2 linked regions of the Coturnix japonica genome follow. The protein of the gene in region 1 interacts with the protein of each later gene in a pairwise test. Links are inferred from orthologs where the notes say so. Each region holds a gene or a part of one and is shown in the gene's direction. Other genes may lie near its edges.

Evidence for each region. The genes of interacting proteins can lie anywhere in the genome.
Region 2: the proteins of HMBOX1 (region 1) and WT1 interact in binary tests that used the Homo sapiens proteins (3 or more experiments, as listed by UniProt). The link is inferred for Coturnix japonica from reciprocal best matches to the Homo sapiens genes HMBOX1 and WT1.

What each region holds. Positions count from the first base shown.
Region 1 is NC_029518.1:96,819,239-96,823,364, forward strand, and holds the start of HMBOX1 (homeobox-containing protein 1), read left to right. Parts: upstream 1-1,326; 5' UTR 1,327-1,628; intron 1,629-1,755; exon of another isoform or gene 1,756-1,775; intron 1,776-1,795; exon of another isoform or gene 1,796-1,963; intron 1,964-3,317; exon of another isoform or gene 3,318-3,949; intron 3,950-4,126. Other genes in the region: INTS9 (integrator complex subunit 9), read right to left, coding at 1,009-1,017. UniProt on the Homo sapiens protein: Binds directly to 5'-TTAGGG-3' repeats in telomeric DNA. Associates with the telomerase complex at sites of active telomere processing and positively regulates telomere elongation.
Region 2 is NC_029520.1:4,411,105-4,415,090, forward strand, and holds the start of WT1 (Wilms tumor protein), read left to right. Parts: upstream 1-1,186; 5' UTR 1,187-1,212; coding exon of another isoform or gene 1,213-1,266; 5' UTR 1,267-1,596; coding exon 1,597-1,987; intron 1,988-3,986. Other genes in the region: uncharacterized protein LOC107314335, read right to left, coding at 32-373, 530-774, 900-1,134, 1,213-1,266. UniProt on the Homo sapiens protein: Transcription factor that plays an important role in cellular development and cell survival. Recognizes and binds to the DNA sequence 5'-GCG(T/G)GGGCG-3'. Regulates the expression of numerous target genes, including EPO.

The sequences.
Region 1 (4,126 bases):
CAACCCCTGACTCAGTGTTTATGCCTTACATCGAGTTGAAGGCACCAGGCGTGTAATAATCACAGACTGACCCGGGTTGGAAGGGACCTCAAGGATCATGTAGTTCACCCCCCTGCCTAGCAGGGCCACCAAACACTACACATTTACTAGTATCAGGTTGCCAAGAGACCCCATAGGACCCATAGGACCCCATAGACCCCATAGAGACCCCATAGATCAGGTTGCCCATGGCCCCATCCAACCTGGCCTTGAAACACCTCCAAGGACGGGGCATCCACAACCTCCCTGGGCAGCCTGTTTCCAGGGCCTAACCACTCTCCTAGTGAATAACACAGTGCTGTGTCCTCAGCTACGTGTATTAACACTAAAGCAGCAGCTATTTCCACACCGAACCATTGGGGATGCTCCTATGGGACAGCCCCATGTGCTATGGGCCCAAACCCACTGCCTGCCCCTCACCCAACCCCCGAGGGTGATCCCAGCGCAGAGAACACCACCCAGCTCCCCCCATAGCCCCTAGTAGCCCCCCCATACATCCCAATAGCCTCCCATAGCCCCCAACAGCCTCCCATAGCCACCAGCAGCCCCCATAGCCCCCAGTAGCCTCCCATGGCCCCCCAGTAGCCTCCCATGGCCCCCAGTAGCCTCCATGGCCCCCAAATACATCCCAATAGCCTCCCATAGCCCCAATAGCCCTCCATAGCCTCCCATGCCCCCAATAGCCCCCAATAGCCCCCAATAGCCTCCAATAGCCCCCAATAGGCCCCAATAGCCTCCAATAGGCCCCAATAGCCTCCAGCAGCCCTCCACACACCCCAATAGCCTCCCATAGCCCCCAATAGCCTCCCATGGCCCCCCACAGCCCCCCATACACCCCAATAGCCCCCATAGACCCCAATAGCCCCCAAAGACCCCAATAGCCCCCAATAGACCCCAATAGCCTCCAACAGCCCCCCATGGCCCTATAGACCCCCCACGGCCCCCAATGGCCCCATAGCCCCCACTCACCAGCTTCATGCTGCCCGGCTCTATTTACAGGCACAATCCTGCCCCCCCACTTCCGGCTCGCTCCCCCTTCCCGCCGCAAAGCATCACGGGATTTGTAGTCCCCCCGTGATGACGTCATGCCGCCCCCCTCCATATCACCTTGCCGTCCCGTTGCATGCTGGGAGCCGTAGTCCGCGCTCCGCTTCGCCCCGCGCTCCCGTGGTGGCGCCGCGCCGCACGGCACGCTGGGAATTGTAGTCCGTGAGCCGCGGCGCTCCCCGTCACCCTGGGGAGGGGGGAACTACAAGTCCCAGGGTCTCACAGCTGCAGCAGGTGGGAGCTCGGATGTTGATATCAACATGGCGCTTGTCAGACAGACAAAGACAGTCGGTCTGGTGTGAGCGAGCCGGGAGGGGGGGGGGGGAGAAATAAAAACCACCACCACAAAAAAATAAAGCCCAACAGAGAGAAAAGGAGCCGAGGGGGCAGAGAGGGGAGGGGGGGGCTGTTATCCTCGGGGGGCTCCGGCAGCACAGCGCTATTGTTGTCCACGTTCATCTCCCCTCATTGCAGGGGGGGGGTCCCCGGCGGGGGCGGCCCGTTCAATGGTGAAGCGGAGGAACCGCCGGCACCGGGAGTGAGTGAGTGGGGGTGAGGGGGGGAACGGGGGCGGGCGGGTGGGTGGGCTGCCAGGAGGGAGGGTGGGAGGGAGGGTGGGTGGGAGGGGGAAGGGCCCCCCCGGCTGTGTCTGAGCCTGGGAGGGATTCGAGGCGTGAGGAGATCCGAGGGTGCGTGAGGAGGGGGACGGAAGGGTGCCCCCGGATAACAGGGAGATCGCTCTGCTGCTGCTGCTGCTGCTGCTTCGGCTTTTTATTCTGTTTTGTGTTTTCACCCCTTCATCCCCCCTCTTCACCCCCCCATCCACTCCCGGGTGTGGGGAGGACGAAGTCGCGGCGGCGGAGTCCCCTCAGGTTGGGTGGGTGCTGGTTCTTTCGTTTATTTCTTTATTCTTCTTTATTTTTCCGCTTGTTTCGGTGCTGGGACCGCGAACCCCGAGCGGAGCTGGGGGGGGCCCCCCTCCCTCATCCCTCTTTCCCCCTTCCCTCCCCATACCCCCCCCATATCTCTCAGCCCTTTATCCCCCTCTTTTCTCCTCATTCCTTTCCGGGATCCGACCCTTGAGGGAGCGATCACTCATTCCGGGGTGAACCCAACTGTTTTCCTACGGTTATGTGGGGGGGAAAAGGGCATTCCGCCTCCCCCCCCCGAGCTGTGCCGCTGCCGGGGCTTTGCGGGAGGGCGAAGGCGTCGAACCGAAGGGATTCGTTTGTGCGGGATGGGGTGAAGGAGCCGGCGACAAATCGGTCCTAAAACGTGTGAGGAGGGTTTGGGCGGGGTGTCAGCCGCTTGTTTATTCCCTACTTCACGGGGAGAGAAGCTGCGACGCTTCTCTGTCTGTGCCCGGGTTCGTTCGGGGGACCCTCATGCCCCCTTGAGAGCCCGGCATGGCAGGGGATGCTGCCCACCCACCCTGCCCCGCTTCTGGGCTGACCCTACCCGAGTTCGGTGCTGTTTATCAGCTCAGATCGCACATATGAAGCAGGTTGGGCTGAGTTCTTCCACCTCTGGTGGGTTTTTCAGTTGTTTTGCGAAGTACTTCTTTGGAATGTCGTGTTTTTTGTTGTGGTTTTTATTTTACCCTTTTCGGTGGGTCTGAAAAAAGCTGTGGGTGTTCGGTGATGTGCAGGGGTCAAAATGCTTCTTTGGGGGGGGTGGGGAGGGAAGAAGGAAGAGGAAAATCAAGGCTGTAAGCAGACAGCGGAGTGGGGTGTAGCTTAATTTGTTCTCATTGGGACTAGAGATAAGTGGCTTTAAGTACAGCACAGCACGTGAGCTGGAGCTGGGAAGGTTGAAACTTTGTAGGGAGGAAAGTGTTAACGTGACAGCCAGGGCTTGGCGGTGTGGGAGCGGATCTGCTGGATGCCCCTGATCCAACTATATAGGGATGGAGGGGAAGGAAACTGGGGGGGAAAACTACAATTTGCCTGTAAGACAGCACGTAAATACAGGGAAGGGGAAACTGGTGGGGAAAGGCTTGGTGCTGTAGTGCCTGCTTGCATCCCAGCTCATTGCTGCAGGGTTCATCAGGTACATTGCTTTCTTCCTGGGATGGTGTGGCTGCTATTTGATTTCTTCCCTGGATGGGAGAGGAGGAGTCCTGTGCAGTTCTTTTCCCCGAGCTGATTGCATTTGCTTTGGCCTTGCTGTACCCTACCTCATTAGTAGGAACTGCATCTATATTTATTTACCATTACATCGGGTCCCTCGGGATGCTGGGTGTAGTTTGGAGTAGGTATATATGGATTTATCGCTCTCAATATGTTTTTTTCCTCTTGTCATGCTACGGCCAAATCGTTTGAGAACAGGGAACGAACTTCATTTCTTTCTGTGTTTCGCATCAACCTTTTTGCCATTTCTCTTCCGAATCGTTAAGAAAACATTTCTGAGGCACAGGTGGGGGAGGAGAGATGGGAGATAGCAGTGCAGGGATGTGTTTGTTAGCTGCCTATTCTGAGACCTCTGAGTGGTGCTTGATGCTATATCAGCTAACGGGGGTTTGGGATTGTTTTTTCCCACCTATGTGAAGATTATTCCTTAGCCCCATGACCGCCACAACTTTTCTGTATGGTTGATGGGATTGTCTGACGAGCCTGGGCGTGAGATGAGGAACAAGGGAGGAACGGAGGAGGAACAAGGAACTTGTGTCTCGTTCAGCTCTGCCTCGTTCTTCCTCCTATCGTTCCTTCAGCACAGCGCAGGCACCCGAACAGCCATCAGCATTTTTACTCCTGTGTCATCCAACTCTGTTCAGAGCAGGTCTAGACGACATTGTGCTATGCAGACTGCCAGCTGTGTTACAGGAATGCTACCAGAGGTGAAACGGCAGGTTATTTAAAGAATGGTAAGGAAACCTTCAAGGAAATACTGCGTGGATGAGGCCTGCTTATCTCTAGAACTACTTTATTAAGCGGTCTTGAGCAATTCTTTTCTATTTTATTGACCTTTCTAGAAAACACGCATCCCTCCAGTGCTGCGATACGGTAATTCAACAGAACTAGGAGCAGTGTCTGCTGCACAA
Region 2 (3,986 bases), on another chromosome or scaffold:
GGCCGTTTCGATTTATTTTGTTGCAGCAATTTTAAAACATCGTTTGGAGGTCGGCGATGGAAGCAGCGCTAACCTTTAATGCCGCGGGGAACGTGAACGCCGCAGCGCGAGTTGCCACCGGAGGACATCGGGGCCCACCCTTCCAGCGGCAGGTAACCGCTTTTATCACTACAGCTTCGGGGGAGCGACTTCTGACCGGGGCGCGGGGGTGCGAGTGTTGCCGGCCGAGCTCGGGGCGCAACGGGAGCGCACCCACAAGCGGCCCGGCGGAGCTGTCATACGCGTGCCCCAGGGGCTCAGCCTTCCCCCCGCCGGGTCGATAGCGATGAGTACTTCGGGAGGAGGGGGGCAGGATCCCGCTCTTGGTACGCGTCTACGGGGGGAGGCGGCGGGCTCGTATCTGCGCCGGATGCCGTGGTGCGCCTGGCCGCGGCAGGCACGGCCGAGTCCCGGGGGCCTCGCCGTCCGCCCTGCCGGTAGGGGCGGGGAAAAGGTCGCGGCCCCCTGGCTGCCGGGGCTAGCCCCCAACCCGCCGAGCTGACCGGGAGGGCTGTCCGAGATAACGCGTGAAGTGCCGCCGGGTTCGTGCTGCGGAGCCGCCGTCCGGGCTGGGTAGGGAAGGGAGAGTGCGGGTCCTCCCCGGAGCTGCGCCGGGTGAGTCCCCGATGCGGGCGCTCGTTGTGCTGCGGTCCTTCCGCGGCAGCCCAGCCACCTCCTCCCCTCTAGGCACGGGCGGCTCGGGGGACGCGGACGTCTCCCGCACGGGGAGAGCACCTGGAAGGACACATTTTTCCCTCGCCGGGTCGGCTCGCCTGCAGGGGTGGCGGCTTCTCCGCTCGGTGCCCGGGGTCCCGCGGGACGTGCGCGGGGCTGCGGGAAGCGGTGCGGCACGTACTTACGGGGCCGCCCGCATCCCTCTGGCGGTCTCGCCAGGTCTCTCAAAAGCGAAGGGATGTTAGGGTGAGATTTAGTGGCGCTTGCACCGGAGGAAGGGTGGGAGGGATGCGTAAGGGAGATATATTCTCCCACAGTAACCTCTCCCCCTCCGTCCTCGCGTCCCCACCCCCCGACCCCCCGCGCTCCCCACCCCCGGCTGGCCCGGGTCGGTTCAGCAGAGCGGGCTGTGGGCAGCCCCTTGACGAAGGTTGTGTGAATGGAGGATCTTCGCGGCTGACTCCTCCTCCCCTGCGAGCGCCTCTATTTGAGCTTTGCAAAGTTGAGGGCGAGCAGGCAGCCGAGGTGCGGCGTGCGAGGCGGCTGTGCCATCCCCCCCCCCACGGCACGCGCGGACAGACACACAGACACGGCCGCGGCCGCACGGACACGCGCGCACCCCGCCCTGCGCTACGAGCGGGCGCGGCCCCGGAGGCGATCCTGGAGAACAACCTTTCCCTGTCGCTGCTGCCCGCTCCCGCAGGGCTGGACCCGGGGAGCTGCGTCGCGGAGCAAACCTCCCCCAAGGGGCTGAGCTCTCCGGCCTGGTGCCTGCAGCCGGAGCCGGCCTCCGGCCTGGCGGGCAGAGGCCAGGTGTCCTGGAATAAGTGCGGCCCGGGGGGAGACTGGCTGCCCGGCGGCAGGCAGAAGGTCTGCGAGCAGATGGGGTCCGACGTCCGGGACCTGAACGCGCTGCTGCCCTCCGTGCCCTCCCTACCGGGCAACAGCAACTGCGCCATGCCGGTGAGCAGCGCGGCGCAGTGGGCTCCCGTCCTGGACTTCCCCCCGGGGGCCTCCTACGGCTCGCTGGGGCCGCACTCCTTCATCAAGCAGGAACCCAGCTGGAACGGGTCGGACCCGCACGAGGAGCAGTACCTGAGCGCTTTCACCGTCCACTTCTCCGGGCAGTTCACGGGCACGGCCGGGGCCTGCCGCTACGGGCCCTTCGGCGCCCCGCCGCCCAGCCAGCCGCCCTCCGGCCAGGCCAGGATGTTCCCCAACGGGCCCTACCTGCCTAACTGCCTGGAGAGCCAGCAAGCCATTCGCAACCAGGGTAAGGGCGGCGCCGAGCACCCGGCCTCGGGCTCAGCCCCGCGGGCACAGCCGTGGGCTCTCCGACCCGCGTTTGCCGAACGTACGGAGCCCCTGCCGCGCCCCTCCGGGCAGCTCCGGGAGCCGCTCTCGGCTCTCCCAAGGGCGCAGCGGGCTACCCCGGCCTCGGCCCTGGCTACGGCAGCCTCCTCTCTTCTCGGGACTGTATTCGGGCTGAGGACGGTCCCGACGTGGAGATGGGGTGGCTGCCCTCAGACCATTCCCTCTGCAAGCCGTGCAGTGTAGGGGCGGGGGTAGAGTTGTTTACCTCCTCCTGAATATGCGGGCTGCTGTCCGCCCGGTGCTGTTCTCCGGGCGTTTGTCGGACCTACCTCGGGAGCGCTGGCTCCTCGGGCCGGGCCGCACGCACCGGGCGGCTTCTGGTTCCCTCTCGGCGGCTCCGCGGCAGGGACACGGCGGGCTGCAAGCGTCGTGGCCCCGCTGTTCGCGCTGCCCCCAGAAATTGGCGTGGGTGCGCGGTTAACGATCGGTCAGCCCCCGCCTACGGAACGGGGTTATCGCTTAATGGTTTTTCTTCCAGCGGCGGCAATGTAAACATCTGCTGGAGCTAACGCGAACAAGAAGGGAGAGAGAGCGGAGCTCTCGCTGGGGATCCCCGGGCTGCGCCTCCCGCCGCGTTCCGTCCCCGCTCTGCCCGGCCCGGGGGAAGGTGCCCACGCACGGCGAGGCGGCTGGAGGAGCGGGCCCGGAGCAGCGCTGTCGCAGCCGACCGGAGGGTCTCGGGGCAGGCTCTGCGCTGCCGGCGGGTGTTCCGCTCTTCCGCGGCCCAGCAGCCAGCCTCGGGCCGTAGATTGGGTGCTGCGGGTGGCCGGCCTCCAGCTCCCGGCTGTTGCGGGGTGCCTTTGCTCCCAGGCGGGCCGGGGTAAAGGAGAGGGGGCCCGGACCAGGCGTTTGCCGGTCTGCCGATATCGAAAAACTGGGAGCGGAGCGCAGGGCCCAGCTCGGTTGGGGAAGTTACGCGGCATCCCCAGAGGCGGCCGTCGCAGCACGGGGCCGCTGGTGTTGTTCGGACACCTGAAAGCATTTCAGATATCTGAGACGGTTTTAATGGCCGAGCAGAAGTAGTGACGAGAAGGACAAGGTGGTTAAGTGGGTGCCCTCTGATTTCTAAGCCCCCAAAGCGAAAGGGAGCCTTTAACGCTCAGAAACACAGCACCCGTCTTGGCTGCGGCCTTAAGCCGGGCAGGGTTCCGTGCGGGCGGCTCCGCAGCTCGCGGGCACACCGCTGTACCCCGAGACGGCGGCAGCTCCCGCACTTGGCAGCGAGTCGTGCAGGTGTGTGCGTGGCCGTGCCCTGCTGCGGGGGGCAGAGCTCGGGCAGCACGGCTGCGGCGCAGCCCCTCCCTCCCTCCCGCTCCGGCCCGTCCGGGTAGCGTTCCTTCCTTCGCCGAGGAGGAATTCGGCAAAGGGTGCTCGCTTTTCTATTGATTGATTTATTTATTCTCGGCAGCGGATAAAAAGTTCTTGTTTTCGCTCTCCTCAAGGTTGAACTCCCGGGCTTATAGCCTGTTCTTCCGACCGTGGGAAAGACGTTACCTTGGCTCTGCGATGACACTTCAGCCAAGTCTAGGCTGGGGCGTGGGGGTAGGGAGCGAGGCTTTGGAAGCTCTGCCCAGCTTTCCCCTTCTGGTCCGCCCGTCTCCTTCATCCAAGCTGGGCTCCTCCACAACTGGAGTCCTCCCGCGGGCCCCGTGCTGCAGCAGCTGTATAGCTTTCAATTATTTTCAGCACATTTTAATCAGGCCCGACTCTGATAAAGCCCTAATTAAAGAGACCTCGCTATCGGCAGCTCGGTTCAGAACTCGGCTTTCTTATCACATTCCTGAAGCTTTGGGTCAGGCAACACCGGAAAATGCGGCCAAAACATCGTTCTGCACCGAGCTGCGTTGTGAAGGTCGCCAAAAATCTGCGCCGGGCCAAATGTACCGTAGAAAGTGTCA